Diceros bicornis minor: one gene and its partner. The protein of the gene in region 2 interacts with the protein of the main gene of each other region in a pairwise test. Links are inferred from orthologs where the notes say so. Each region holds a gene or a part of one and is shown on either strand. Other genes may lie near its edges.

What was found. The genes of interacting proteins can lie anywhere in the genome.
Region 1: the proteins of FOXR1 (region 2) and PPCDC interact in binary tests that used the Homo sapiens proteins (3 or more experiments, as listed by UniProt). The two-hybrid records come from large-scale screens. The link is inferred for Diceros bicornis minor from reciprocal best matches to the Homo sapiens genes FOXR1 and PPCDC.

The regions. Positions count from the first base shown.
Region 1 is NC_080744.1:67,901,076-67,908,335, forward strand, and holds the start of PPCDC (phosphopantothenoylcysteine decarboxylase), read left to right. Parts: upstream 1-4,258; 5' UTR 4,259-4,876; intron 4,877-7,260. Other genes in the region: SCAMP5 (secretory carrier-associated membrane protein 5), read left to right, coding at 177-278, 744-861, 1,110-1,304. UniProt on the Homo sapiens protein: Catalyzes the decarboxylation of the cysteine moiety of 4-phosphopantothenoylcysteine to form 4'-phosphopantotheine and this reaction forms part of the biosynthesis of coenzyme A.
Region 2 is NC_080746.1:18,002,998-18,010,843, reverse strand, and holds the start of FOXR1 (forkhead box protein R1), read left to right. Parts: upstream 1-4,835; 5' UTR 4,836-4,850; coding exon 4,851-4,911; intron 4,912-7,846. UniProt on the Homo sapiens protein: Transcription factor which acts as both an activator and a repressor.

The DNA.
Region 1 (7,260 bases), on a different chromosome or scaffold from region 2:
GGAAACTTGTGAAGATCAATGGGTAAATGCTGTCCTATTTTGGCCTCTCAATTAAGGCCTTTAAATGTCTTCTGTCCATTGTATATTCACTTAAATTTAGAAGGGCATGGAGGTCTTGATGGCAGGGAAGCCCTGGCTCTCTGCCCAGGTGATGGGAACCATCTCCTCTGCTGCAGGACTGACAGCTCCTTCAGCTTCATGGCATTCTTCTTCACCTTCATGGCCCAGCTGGTCATCAGCATCATCCAGGCTGTGGGCATCCCAGGCTGGGGCGTCTGGTAAGAGACTGGGGTGTCTGGGACTGACCCAGGGCCAGCATGGGTGGCACCTTGGGCGTGTCCTTTGCTTTCCTCTGTGTGCTAAGCTGCATAGCCTGTGGGGACACCATGAGTTATTGAAGTGTGACAGGATTCAGGATAGTGTTGTAGACACAGCCATAGCATCAGAGGGGAAGGAGAACCTTGCAGTGGTTCTTGCAGTTTTTGGGGGTGCTGAGGGGTATCAGGCATCATGGGAGAACCTGAGAGAAGGAAGCCGTAAGTCTGAGCAGCTTGTCTTCTGAGCCGTGGGGAAGGGTTCTTCCTGAACCACTGACACAGGCCCTAGATATCAGTAAGATGGTCCCTTTGCATCCAGTGATATGGTCCCTCCCTGTGACAGTGAGATGGTCCCTTGCTCTAGTGGGGTGGCTCTGGGTACCTGTCACCATGGGGGGCAGCCCCACAGCTGGCCTCTTCCTGCAGTGGCTGGATCGCTACCATCTCCTTCTTCGGAACAAATGTTGGCTCAGCGGTGGTGATGCTCATTCCCACTGTCATGTTCACGGTCGTGGCCGTCTTTTCCTTCATCGCCCTCAGCATGGTACGTGGTCACCTCAAGGGTGAGAGGGTGGATTTGGGTCTGTGATCTGTTCAAGTTATAGGAGAACCCAGAGGTCTTCCAAGGGACTTACTCTGGAATGGCTTGGTGGACTTTGCTCCTAGTGCACAGGGCACGGGTAAGGAGGGAGGACTGGCTTTTACAGTGACTTGTCTCTGGCTCCCATGTCTTTCCTGGATGGCCTGCCTCTTCCCTTTGATTAACACTGCCTTGTGCTCCTCCTCTTACAGGTTCATAAATTCTACCGGGGCAGTGGGGGCAGTTTCAGCAAAGCTCAGGAGGAGTGGACCACGGGGGCATGGAAGAACCCGCATGTGCAGCAAGCGGCCCAGAATGCAGCCATGGGGGCGGCCCAGGGTGCCATGAATCAGCCGCAGACTCAGTATTCCGCCACCCCCAACTACACGTACTCCAATGAGATGTGAGCCAGCTGAGCCTACTGGGAGGCAGGGCTGGGGGCCAGTGGGACAGGGGCTCAAGCCACATCGTCTGTTGTGGTGACCAAGCAGGGTTCCCCCTTCCCTTTTCTCCTCCCCCACTTTGTACAAAGAATCAGAGTTATATATATATATATGTATATGTATATGTATATGTCTACCCCCTCACCCCCCAACACACACCCTTTGGATTCTGCTCTCAGCACTCTAAGAGCTGTGGGCTGTGAAGGGAGCTGTCCTGTGTGGTAGTAGCTGTGTCCGTGTCCCCCTGTGAAATAGTGTGCAGTGAAGGTCTCTGTTGTTGTGGTGCTAGATGTATGTTTAGAACTAAACCAGCCCTCCATCCTCCACCAGCCTGCCCCTTCTGACCTTGACCCAGGAACCCATCATGGGGCAGGGGGAGGCATAGCAAAGAGCCTGGCCCCCTCCCCAGGGTTATGAGCTGAAACTGTTTCCACTTTTGGTCTTACTGGGAAGCAACAGTATTTAGCACTCATGGGGGTGGTAGGTGGGAGTGTGGGACAGGCAGGGGATCTTCCTTTGCTCCTTCTTATCCGAGTCTCCTCCCCCTCAACCTCCTCCTCCCCTTCAACCACCTCCTCCTCTCCTCTCGTCCTGCTGTCAGATTCCCTGTGGTCTCTTCTCCCGCCCAGGGTCTCTCTCTTCCCTATGTGGCTTTTCTTTGTCTTCCCCAAGGCTGAGTGTCCCAGTTGTATCTGCTCCTGAGACTGAGCCCATTCCCAGATCAAGGAAGCAGACAGGGAAGCTGAGCCTTAGCCCTGATGTGAGAGGGCACATAGCCAGAGATGCAGAGCCCACCTGGGTACCTGACTCCCAGGGACTGGAAATGCAGGATCATCTCCTTGACTCTCAGAGCTTGTCCTGCAGCGGCAGGCTCCTCTTTTCGCTGCCCTGCTTCCCCTCCTTCTCTTCCCAGAGACCCTTTGAGCCCCTCTGCTTATGTCCCTCCCTGTACCCCCAGCTGCTGTGGCTTGATTCTTCTACCTTCCCCCACCACGTGCCCAGTGGTGTCTGCTGTCCACAAGGGCAGATTCCACTGCCTTCCCTGAAGAGCTGGATGGTGTCCAGGCAATTTTCAGGTATAAAGGTACAGCTGGAGCAGAGGGTATGTAAATAATTATTGGTCCCTGGGTGAGGTCTGGCTGGCCCAAGCCCTCTGGGCAGGTGCTAGGTATCTCTGAAGGACCATTGGATTCCTGGGAGCAGTAGCTGTTCTGTTTGGGTCTGGCTCAGAGGGCTGGGCCTGGAGGGGAGAGCAGAGAAGACAGGCAGGGCCCAGTGAGAGGGGAGCATGCCTCTGCCACCCCAGCTTGCTCTTGGTCACAGGGCAGTTCTGGGCATTTGAACTCAGGGCTCAGGGAGAAGCACAGGCCCAATCCTGTCCACAAGCACAATGGCCAGAATGGGATTTCAGGGTAGGTGGGGTGGGAGGGGAGGCTTTCCAGCTTTTTCTTCCTTTTTTTTTTTTTTTAATGAAGATTACTTGCTCCCCTCTGCCTACCAGACTTGGTTCTTGGCCCTTCCTCACCCTATCAGAACCCCTTTCCTTTCCAGCACAGTGATTTCAGGCCTGTGGGGCTGTTCTATTCCAAGCATCGTGAGAATGTTGCTGGTGGAGGCCCTGGCTCTCTCTGAGGCCTGTAGGGGAGTGGGTTCCTACCCAAGTAGCAGCTGCCTGTTTCCCACGCCCACTTCTACCTGGGCTATTTGGCCTGAAAACGAAACCCCACTTGGCCACTCTGGGCTGGCTCCAGCTTAGAACCCAACCCCTGGGCTTCCTGGTGCCATCCTGAGCTTTGGGCTGCAGGTACTTCACTTTCCTGTAAGAGGAGCCAGGATCTCCGGAAAGTTCTCTTCCTAATGGTCCCTTAGGCTTGGGCCAGAGTGTGATTGGCTCTCTCCTCTATCACTGTCTCTCTGGAAAGCAGTCACAGCCCCTAGTACCTGAAGAGAGACCCAGGTCTAGGCTCTTCCTCCACTTCCCTCTCCCCCACCCTAGACCCCTGGCTCCCTTTCTCTTAGTCTCTCTGGTCGCTCCAGGAGGCCTGTGATCCAGCTGCCAGCCCAACATCCATGACCTGTTGGATGCCACCTCCAGTCGATCTCCTGTCCTCTCTGCCTTTCCTCTTTCCTGGCTCAGACCTATATGGTCATGCCCTGGTTCTGCCCTTGGGAAGGCCTGCTACCTGTGTGTGCCCCAGCTTGTCCAGGCCCTGGGATGCTGCATCTCCAGGCAACTATGCACTTTCCAGGGAGGAACCAGTATGAGAAGTGGGGGCTGGGCACAGATTTAACTCTGCTGGATGGTCTGGCTTGGGGGTGGGGTGGAGGAAGGCCCAGGTCAGTTCTGGGAATCCTCAGGTCTGCAGCCAGCCAGTGACCTGCCTTTGCATTCTGCTGGTGCCCACTGCTCCTTGTTTCTGGGAGACACAGACCATTCTCCAATTGGCAGTTGACCTGCCTGAGCCAATGTGTCTGTCTGTGGTAACTGAGTGAATCATAATAAAGGGGAACATTTGGCCCTGCGTGTCCTGCTGTGTCATGTGTCTTCATGTGGGCCTGTGTGGAGCTTCACCATGGGCTATGGGGCACAGAGGTAGGGGGGTTGAGTGGGTCTGTGGCCTGTCATTCCCAGGGGCCAAAAGTCACACACCTCTGTGTGGTTCTTTCTCTGAGGCAACCTTGAGTAGGCCTTGAAATTGCCACAGAGGCCTCCTGCCTGTAGGAGGAGTTCTGAGTTCCCTGAGGAGGAAGTAGAAGGCTGGATCAGTGGGCAGGGGGGTGGTTTGCAGATGGGCCCTGCAAGCAAGGGCAAGGGTGGAGCACAGAGGGCCCCACCTCAGCTCTCATCGATGGAGACTGGCAGCTGATGGAGCAGCCTCTATGGAACACAAGGGGATCCAGAGGCCTGTGGATGCTGGAGAAGGAAGAAGGCAGGGAAGCATACCCAACGTGCTTTCTCTCGCTTTCCCTTTGCCAATGCCTGTCCTCCATTTGGAGTGCTGTCCTGGCACTCTAAGTTCCTGGTCATCCTTCAAGATTCACCTTGAATGACTCCTTCTCTGAGAGGGCTTCCCTGCCTCTAGTTGTTGCTTATTTTCCGCTGCTTCCTCATGGACCTTATTCTCTAATTTTCTGTGTCCCTGCTTGTCTCAAGAGCGGGGAAGAGTCCGATTTATCTCTGTATCCTGTGCACTTAAAACATAGAAGAGGCTCAGTAAATATTCAGTATTAAGTGCCGCAGTGATGAGCACTGTGTCTGTGTGGGATAGGGGTGGGCAGTGAGGAGGTCCGACAATTAGACCAGGCCCAAGCCAGAGCACAACAAAGACCAAGAACAGGACGCCAGGGTTTGCGTCAGGATTCCTCCGAGTGGACTACAATGACCAGGAGGAAGAGAAGTGGACTACAACTCCCAGAAGGCTGCACGAGCACGTACGCTGCCGGGGGCTCTTGTATCGTTGCCTGAGTGAATCAGCGGGAGGAGTGGCCGAGGTATCGCGATATTTGGGAGCCGCCCCGAGGCGCGCCTGGCGCGGGTGAGGAGTGGAGGGTTGCTGCCGAGTCTGGGTCTTCCCGGCGGGAGGGAGGTCGGAGAGTCTTCGTTCTAGACTTTGGCTCCGCGCGGCTGTGTGGGCGTGTATGTGATGTCACTTTTCGTGTGCATGTGTGTGTGTGAAACCTCACTTTGCTATCTGTGCCCATGAAGCTCTCCTCGCGACTGTGGGTCGGCAGCTATGTGTGTGATCTGCTCGAAACCGTGTGTGTGTTGTAGGGGCTGTAGAGCCTGTGGGACCTCGCTTTCCTACCTGTACGCGTGTCGCCAGAGCATTAGGGAGCCCTGCCCCGCTCGAGCCTGAAGCGGGGAATTTGTATCTGCGCGCTCCCATCCCGGCTTTGTGCTGCTCTGCGATTGTCCAGTGCCTTTGAATCTAGTGTAAAAGGTGGCCCCATCAGTTCCCCACACCTACTGCTTGCCTGTAAAAAAAATTATGAGCCTACTTCGACAAAGGAATAGGGGCTGCCCAAAGTACAAACTATGTTTGAAAATAGGTAAAATAGAAAAACGAAAGCCCTGGAATGCTGCAATTATCCCCTAGAACCACCTCAAAGTGTTGAATGGCATTTAAAAATTAGGCCAGATTTTGTCAGAGAAAAACTTTGTGCTGTCCTTTGAAGTATTGGAGGCCTATGCCAGATGACGGGCAAGAGAGATTCCCATTCCTGGGGAAGTGGTGGGTGTGTTGGGAGCAGGGGTTTTCCACATCTCTCCCAGTGGCTGAGGTGTCAGTACTCCGTTGCTCCCTCGCTAGTAGCCCGTGTGTGTGAACATATATATATATCCTGATACGTGGCCATGAGGAGGGCTGCCTAACGGCATTACAGGAGCAGCAGAGTCAAGCATGCTTGCCTCTCGTTTGAGAGACGAGCAATCTTAGGAGAATGCCAAGGCCTGGAGCTCTCCTGAAGAGGTCCTTGCCTTTCTTTTGGGGAAGGGGTTTAAAGTGCCCCTGTGGCCATGGGACTCCTTTTAATGACTTTGGATTGGGGGGCAGGGTGACACTTTAGGGAGCTACAAGCGGTTCATTATTACTGGGACAGAGAGTAGGCGGTGTTGAGTGGTGGGAGGTGAGGCCAGAGCAGAAGTCTGGGGCCGGTAGTGAGGGGCTTTGTCATTAGGCTAAAGGATTCAAGCTCTTAATGGATCCTGGATCCCTCCCCATCCCCCTACCCCCCGCCCCACACCCACACCCCGGAGTTTGATTCTATCTTGTCCTAGGCCCCAGCCCCTCCTTCCTGCGTTGGGCTGGGCTCATACCCTGTCTGGTCCTTTTTTAGCTCTAGTTCTGTCCTGGCTCCACAAGTGCCCATATTGTGACTGGCAGGTATTCCTGAAACTTTTACTTAACTCTGCCCTAATTAAACTCTTTAGAGAAGGAAATTTACACATCACAAGCCTGCCACAAGCTGGGGCTCTTTATCTGGCCCTGTCTTTTTTTTCTTTTTTAATTAATTTATTTTTCCCCCCAAAGCCCCAGTAGGTAGTTGTATGTCATAGCTGCACATCCTTCTAGTTGCTGTATGTGGGACGTGGCCTCAGCATGGCCGGAGAAGCGGTGCGTCGGTGCGTGCCCAGGATCCGAACCTGGGCCGCCAGCAGCAGAGCGCGTGCACTTAACCACTAAGCCACGGGGCTGGCCTGGCCCTGTCTTTCTAAAGGAGAGAGAAGCTGCCATTTTTCTGGCTGTGGCTTACCTGCATGGCTGGTGCCCTGGGAGCTTGAGGCTCAGTAATCACAGCCCTATGACCTCTCTGCCTGCCAACTCTTTCTGCTACTTAAAAGTTCCTATGAGTCCAGCAGAGCCCAGGGAAATAAATGAGGTGCTGTCTACAGCTACCTTGGCTGTGCAAATAGATGGTTCTAACAGGAACTGGATAGAGTAACAGACTTCCTAGTTTGGGATTTGATCTTTTTTGAGAGTAAACAGAGAACTCCTACGGGCTGTCACTCTCCATGGAACTGTCAGATTGAACCAATTTGACCTTGCTTTCAAATGTTCATTAAATTATCCACTTTCTATTCCTCAAGTGCATATGTCTCCCCACCCCACCCCCACCCCTTCTAGAAAGGTAAATAGGCTTTGGTCCTTAGCAGTGCATGCTCAGTAGGCTGAATCTTGGGCTGTACCATCTACTGTAGGGAAGTAGTTGAAGTTACCAACATGGATTCCTGCCCCAAGTTTAACTGCTTTCAGTAACCTATTCCTTAGAATGAGATCAGCTTCATGTGGCGGAGGTTCAGGGGCTGCGGAGGTGAAATTCAGCTTCTGGTTTTGCAGGAATCTCCCTATCCTAGCACCAGTTGGCTAGGGTGGGACGGGGTCAAGGTTTGAGATCTGGCAGGTAGGTTTCCCTGGAGAGT
Region 2 (7,846 bases):
TACCTTTGCTCTGCAGTGCCTGGGACACAGTAGGTACTCAATAAATACTTGAATAAGTGAGTGAACGAACAAACGAACAAGCCCCTGAACAGAAAGAGGGGGCTGGGAAAGTGCCAAAAACTCTGCAAAAACAATAAAAAATGACTCAGAGTTAGAAGATGCTAGAACAATGGTCTTAATGATCCCTTTCTAGAGTAACCCAAGAGCTGGGGAGAGGGAGGCAATGGAAGAGAAGGACAACAATATTTATTCATTCCACAAACATTAACTAAGCATTTATGATGTGCCAGGTGTTAGGAATAAACTTGAAAAGACATTGCTCCTCGCTTATGGAACTTAGTGGAAGAAACAGACTCCCAAAACTGTGAACAAGTAAATAAATTAAATTAGAAAAGTGAAAAGTGCTATGAAAAATGAAAGAGGAGGTGAACACTGGGACCCTCCCTTGCTTGGGTGGGCCTGACTGAGCTGAGGCCCCAAGTCAGGTGAGAGGGTCAGGGAGAACGTGCCCTGCAGAGAGAATGGTTTGGACTATACTCCACTCCCCCTCGCCAACTGTACCAGCCAAGAAAGGTTTAGGAGCCCAACCTTCTTGTGCTGTTGGAAGAGCATCTAACTGGGAGCCCAACTGTGCTGTACATTGGAGTCATCTAGGGAGCTATTAAAAATCCCAACCTCCAGGCCATACCCCATATCAGAATCAGAATGACTGGGGGTAGGAGCCAGGCATTAATATTTTTTAAAGATCCCCAGGAGATTCCATTGTGCAGCAACATTTGGAGATTATTGACATAAACATCTTTTTAATTGTGGTAAAATAAACATAACATAAAATTTACTTTTAACCATTTTTAAGTGTATGTTCAGTGGCATTAAGTTCATTGACATTGTTGTGCAACCACCACCACTATCCATCTCCAGAACTTTTTCATCATCCCAAACAGAAATTCTGTACCCATTAAACAATAACTCCCTATTCCCCTCACCCGCCTTGGCAACCATCATTCTACTTTCTGTCTCTATGAATTTGGCTATTCTAGGTATCTCATAAAAGTACAATTGTACAAAATTTGTCCTTTTGTGTCTGGCTTATTTCACTTAGCATAATGTTTTTAAGATTCATCCATGGTGTAGCATGTATTAGAATTTCATTCCTTTTTAAGGCTAAATAATATTCCATTGTATGTATAGACCACATTTTGTTTATCCATACACCCACTAATGGACATTTGGATTGTTTCCACTTTTTAGCTATTATGAATAATGCTGCTATGAATGTAGGTGTACAAATCTCTGTTCAAGTCTCTGACTTCAGTTCTTTTGGGTATTTGCCCAGAAGTGGGATGGCTAGGTCATACGGTAATTCTACGTTTAATTTTTTGAGGGGCTGCACCATTTTACATTCCCACCAGCAATGCACGAGGCTTCCAATTTCTCCGCGTCCTAGTCACCACTTGTTACTTTCTTTTTTTTTTTTTTGTGAAGAAGATCAGCCCTGAGATAACAATCTCTTTTTGCTGAGGAAGACCGGCTCTGAGCTAACATCTATTGCCAATCCTACTCCTTTTTTTTTTCCCCCAAAGCCCCAGCAGATAGTTGTATGTCATAGTTGCACATTCTTCTAGTTGCTGTATGTGGGACACGGCCTCAGCATGGCCAGAGATGCAGTGCATCGGTGCGCGCCCGGGATCCGAACCCCGGGCCACCAGTAGTGGAGCGCACGCACTTAACCGCTAAGCCACAGGGCCGGCCCAACACTTGGTACTTTCTGTGTTTTGTTTGTTTGTTTTCATAATAACCATCCCAATGGATATGAAGTGGTATCTCATTGTGGTTTTGATTTGCACTTTTTTTTTTTTTTAAAGATTTTATTTATTTATTTTTCCCCCAACGCCCCAGTAGATAGTTGTCTGTCATAGCTGCACATCCTTCCAGTTGCTGTACGTGGGACGCGGCCTCAGCATGGCCGGAGAAGCGGTACGTCGGTGCAATCCCGGGCTCCAAACCGGGGCCGCCAGCAGCGGAGCGCACGCACTTAACCGCCAAGCCACGGGGCCGGCCCTGATTTGCACTTTAATGATTAATAATGTTGAGCATCTTTTCATGTGCTTATTGGACATTTGTATATCTTCTTTGGAGCAATGTCTATGCAAGTCCTTTGTCCATTTTTAAATTGGGTTGTTTGGTTTTTTTGATGGGTTGTAGGAGTTCTCTATATATTCTGGATGTTAATCCCTTATCAGATACATGATTTATATGATATAAACATTCTTAAATGGTACACTAATTTGAAAGGGGTGGTTGCATTACAGTAACTTTTTTTTTACAAAACAAAAATGAAACACTCATAAGGAAAAAGACTGGAAGGATATACATCAAAATGTAATCAATTATCTCTGGTTAATACAAAGAATGATTTTTTTTATTGTTTTTTCCTCTGTGCTTTCTATACTTTCAAGTTTTCTGCATCAAACATGTATTATTATTATTATTTTGGTGAGGCAGATTGGCTCTGAGCTAATATCTGTTGCCAATCCTCTTCTTTTTGCTGAGGAAGATTAGCCCTGAGCTAATATCTATGCCCATCTTCCTCTATTTTTTATGTGGGACACCGCCACACATGGCTTGATGAGTGGTGCATATGTCCGTACCTGGGATTCGAACCTGTGAATGCCAGGCCACTGAGCATGCTAACTTAACCACTGTGCCCCCAGGGCTGGCCCCAAATGTGTATTATTTTTACAATTAGGGAAATTATCATCAAAATTATTGGTATTAAAGGTAGAGTCCCAGCAAACTTTTAAAAAGGAGGCTGTCGTTTTCAATGTAGTTACAACACTTATCGGGGGTCTCCTATGCACCAAGTATTCTCCAAGTTTCTGGTCTAGTAGATAAGCACCAGGCAACACAGTACAGCGTGGATGGGCTCTAATGGGGAACTCAGGACGCACAAAGGAACCAGAGGGGGCTGCCTCACCCACTGGCCAAATCTGGGACAATTTGAGGATTAAAACAAATAATGATAGTAATGAATTATAATCCACTCTACAAAATAAGAATCCTTTGAGTCCATACTGATAATAAACAAACAAACAAGTATGGGATAAGGAAATGCTCTTCCTCACAATAGAATGCCAACGAAATAAATGGAAAAGTAATGATCAATTTAGAAAAGTCATTTTACTCCCATCATAGTAATGATTGATTCAGGCAAGAATCATAAATAGATGCTAGAATTAGTGGGTCCAAATTTGATGAGGAACAGGATTTCAGATCAAAGTATCTCCCTACAGATTGCTTACTAATTACAAAAGAAAAATAAAGGTAACTTTACAGTAGAGAAACCTGGTGGACACCACTAAACCAAGTGATTGAAGTTAACATCACTAATAATGAGACAAATTGACATCATGTGCCTCTTGAGGCGATGTACTAAGAAGGACTAATAACATCATATCTGTAGTATTTTTGCCAAAAATGCATAATCTAAGTCTAATTATAAGGAAACATCAGACAAATCTAAACTAAAACACATTCTACAAAATAAATGGCCTGTACTCTTCAAAAAATGTTAAATGTTATGAAAGATTACAAAGGCTGAGAAACTCTCCAGATTAAAAGAGATATGAAAATTAAATACACTGCGTTGGCGCCAGCCCAGTGCCCCACAGTGGTTATGTTTGTCAGCTTCAGCAGCCTAGGGTTGGCGGGTTCAGATCCCAGGTGTGGACCAAGATACCACTCATCAAGCCGTGCTGTGGTAGCATCCCACATAGAAAATAGAGGAAGATGGGCACAGATGTTAGCTCAGCGCCAATCTTCCTCAGCAAAAAAGAGGAAGATTGGCAACAAATGTTAGCTCAGGGCCAGTCTTCCTCACACACACACAAAAATAATAAAATATATAACTATGCTGTATGATCCCGAATTGGATCCTAGACCAGAAAACAAATTTATATGAACAACATTATTGGGACAATTGATGAAATCTGAATAGGATCTGTACGTTAAATATAGTATTGAATCAACGTTAAATTTTTTATTTTAATGATTTTCCCATTTCTGATTTTCTGGTTATCTAAGCCAATATCCTTCTTTTTAGGAAATACACACTTAAGTATTTATGGGTAAAGGGACATGATGTCTGCAAACTACTCTCACATAGTTCAGGAAAAAGAATACATGTTTTATACATATGGAGAAAAAAATTAAAATGTGATAAAATGTTAATAATTGGTGTAATTGGTGAATTACAGGATTTAGGTATACAGGAATTCTTTATAGTATCCTTGGGATTTTTCTGTAAATTTGAAATCATTAAAAACAAAATTTAAAAATCACCCTTCAATCGTATCTCCACCATGTACCACCACAGATGCGATCTTAGATAAACGGTAAAATCGATCAGAACTTCTAGAAAGTAGCTATTAATACTCTCAGGGGATCATTCTTAAAAGGTAGACTAATTGACTACCTAAAAGAAGAGCTTTGTGCAAATATAGAGGGGCAAGAGGAGCTGGGATACCCCCTTCCGGACCCCCAAGGTCCCCAGACCTCAAAATGAAAGCGCAGGAAGGGGGTTGAGGAAAGACGTCGTCGTATAGAGTAGTCAGCCGAGGCCAGAGGAGCTTCAAGGCGTCAAATAGGGACTCTCCACACCTGAGCTGCCTCCAACTAAGTCAATCAGACCCGGGTATTTGAGGACGTGCCTCTGAGGCCTCAGCCTCAGTCTCTCCGACTCTCCCACCCCCTGCCGGGCTCTCCTCCCCCTAAAGGTGGACCTGAAACTTCGACACCTCGACTTCTGGGCCAGCCTCCATGGCCAGGTCCCGGGACTGCTGGACTGGGACATGGAGAAAGAGTCCTTTCTGGCCTTCACCACAGCGCACCTGCCCTTAGTGCAGCAGAACCGTGAGTCCCGGGGAAGGAGGGGGGCCGGAGGGGGGGGGGCGTGCCGGCGCGGTGGGGGGTGGGGGAGCTCGCGGGAGCGCCCAGGCCAGTGGGCCCCCCAGCCTTCGACCTCCTCCTTTCCCTGGCTGAGCCTGGTTGGCGGCGTAGAGCTTCGGGGTCCTGCGCCCCCTTTGCTGAGTCCCGGAGCCCCCTCCCCCACCCCCTCCTCGCCGAGTGGCAATTGGGCCGCCGCCTGGACTGCAAGCTCACAGAGGGCAGCGGTCCTGCCCAAACCCAGCGGCCTTCTTCTTGACCCAACCCGCCCAGCTCCGACCCAGAACTTTCTAGGCCTCTTCTCGGCTTTTCCTCCATGGCGCCTGGCGCTGTTTGGCACACTACATATTTTACTCATTTTTAAAAAATTTAGTTATCAATTTTGTTCGAGGCTCTATCCCCACCTGTTAATACATTGCCTGACACCTAGAGGTGCTCAATATTTGCTGACTGAATGGTTGACTTGTGGTCTTTAAAATTTTTTCTTTGGCCCTCAAGTGCAGAGAGCTGAGGTAATCACCTACATTCATGGTACTTCATTGCCATCTGTTTGGCAAGGTACTTGGAGTAACTCATTTTTCCCCTTCCTCCTCCACCCTCACTTCCATCACCTCCCACACGCCCATGTATTTACCCTAATCCATGCAATGTCTTTAGCTAAGTGTATCTTTGAAAACTATTTAGCATTATTTTGTATTCAGAGGTGACCTTAATTTACATAATGCTCAGCTTTTTTCCCCTACTCACATTGTTTTTGAGAGCTATTCTGGTTGCTAAAGGCAGATCTGGTTCATCATTTCTGACTGATGTTTAGTATTCTATCATCTGCATATACTTCCTTTTGCCTTTTAATTCTCCTTACTAATGGAGACCTAGATTGCCTCCTGCTCTTTGCCACCATAAGTAGTGCTGATGCACGTTCCTATATCTTCACTGATTCAAGAAATATTTATTGAGCACCTGCAATTTGCCAGGCACTGTTCTAGACACTCGTGAAGCATAATGAACAAAACTGAAAAGGCTGCGTGGAGCTTGCATTCTACTGGGGGCAGACAGACAACTCACATAAAAAATATGTTATAAGGTGATAACTGAGATAGGAGAAAGAGGAGACAGTAAGAGGTTTCTGGAATGGGTTGGGGGAGGAGGTGGTGGCAGCTATAGTTTTAAGTAGGGTCATCAGGTTGCACTTCACTGGGAACATATATTTGAGCAGAGGGCTGAAGGAGGTGAGATAGTGAGCCAAGAGGATATTTAGGGGAAATGTTTCCCAGGCAGAAGAAATAGCCAGTGCAAAAGCCCTAAGGAAGGAATATGCCTGGAGTGTTTGAGGAACAGTAAAGAGGCCAGTGAGGCTGGATTAAAGTAAATAAAGAGATTAGAGGGTGTGGAGCAGAGATCAGGAAGATCCACTTTAAGGATGTTGGGCTTGACTTTAAGTAAGAAGCAGCATGGTTAAAAGAGTTGGAGCAGAGGAGTGACATGATCTTCAGCGTCATGAGTATGCAGCCTGCTGTACAGTTGCATAGGGTGCCTATACTTGGTTTAATGCTCTACCATCACTGTCTTGAGACTTTTAATAACTTTTGAACAAAGAGCTCCACATTTTCATTTTGCACTGGGCCCTGAAATTTATGGAGCCAATCCTGCATGATCTATATTCTGAAAAGATCACTGTGGCTGCTGTAAATGTAGAGAGACTAGGAGCCTAGAAGCTGAGAGACTAGTTAGGAGGCTGCTTACAATCCAGACAAGAGATGATGGTCCAGTGGACCTCTAGGGTGGTAGCAGAGGATGTAGTGAGAAGGTAGAACTAGCTGGATTTGCTGATGGGTTTGATGTGTGGTGTAAGAAAGAGAAATTAGAGGATGACTTCTCTGAGTTTTTGATCAAGTGGAAGGATGGAGTTGCCTTGTACTGAGATGGGGGAAGCTTCTGGTAGGACAAGTTTAGGGATGAAGATCAGGAATTCTGTTCTGGACATGCTGAGTTTGAGATAGTTTTTAGATATCCAAGTAGACATGTTGAGTAAACAAGTGGATATATAAGTCTGGAGTTCTGGAGTGAGGTGTGGATTGTAGATATAAATTTTGACAGTCTTTGGTATATAGATGGCATTTAAGGAGTGAGAATAGAGAAGACAGAGAAGGACTAAGGATGAGCCCTGGGGGCAGTCCATTGTAAAGAGATTAGAGCGAAGATAGATAAATGGCAAAAACTGAGGAAATGACCATTGAGCATGAAAACTAAGAGAGTGTGTTCTCCTGGAAACCAAATCAAGAAAGTGTTTCAAGGAAGGCGTGGTCAGATGAGAGGAATGCTGCTGAGAAAACCAGTAAGAGGTAGACTGACAATTGGATTCAGCAAAGCAGATGATAGTGGTTTTGGTGGAGTGGTGGAGGCCAAAGCCTGATTGGCAAGGGTTTAAGAGTAGAAGGAGGGGAAGTGGAGACAAAGTATAGACAATTCTTCCAAGAAGTTCTGCCTCAAAGGAAAGCAAAAATATGGAGTAGTGGCCTGGCACAGAAAGTGGGGCAAAAGAAGTTGGTGTTTTTAATAAGATGAGAGAATTAACGAATGCTAATGAGAGTGAACCAATAGAGACAAAATTAATAACACAGGAAAGAGAGGAGAGTATTATTGGAACATTGTCCTTGAGAAGGCAACTGTACCAGAGAGGGAGGGAGGGAGACAGACAGAGGCACTATCCTTTGATCCCACTGAGACCGTCAATCTGTTGATCCTGTCACCCTTTCACTGCTCTCAATCACTGGATGTCCTCTCTTCTTTAACTAACTTGCAATCCCATGGTCAGATATGCTCATGCACTTGCATTCACCATCAATTCCTTTGACCCTCTATAGCTTTGGAGCACTTGCTTGGCCAAACCACAACCCTGATT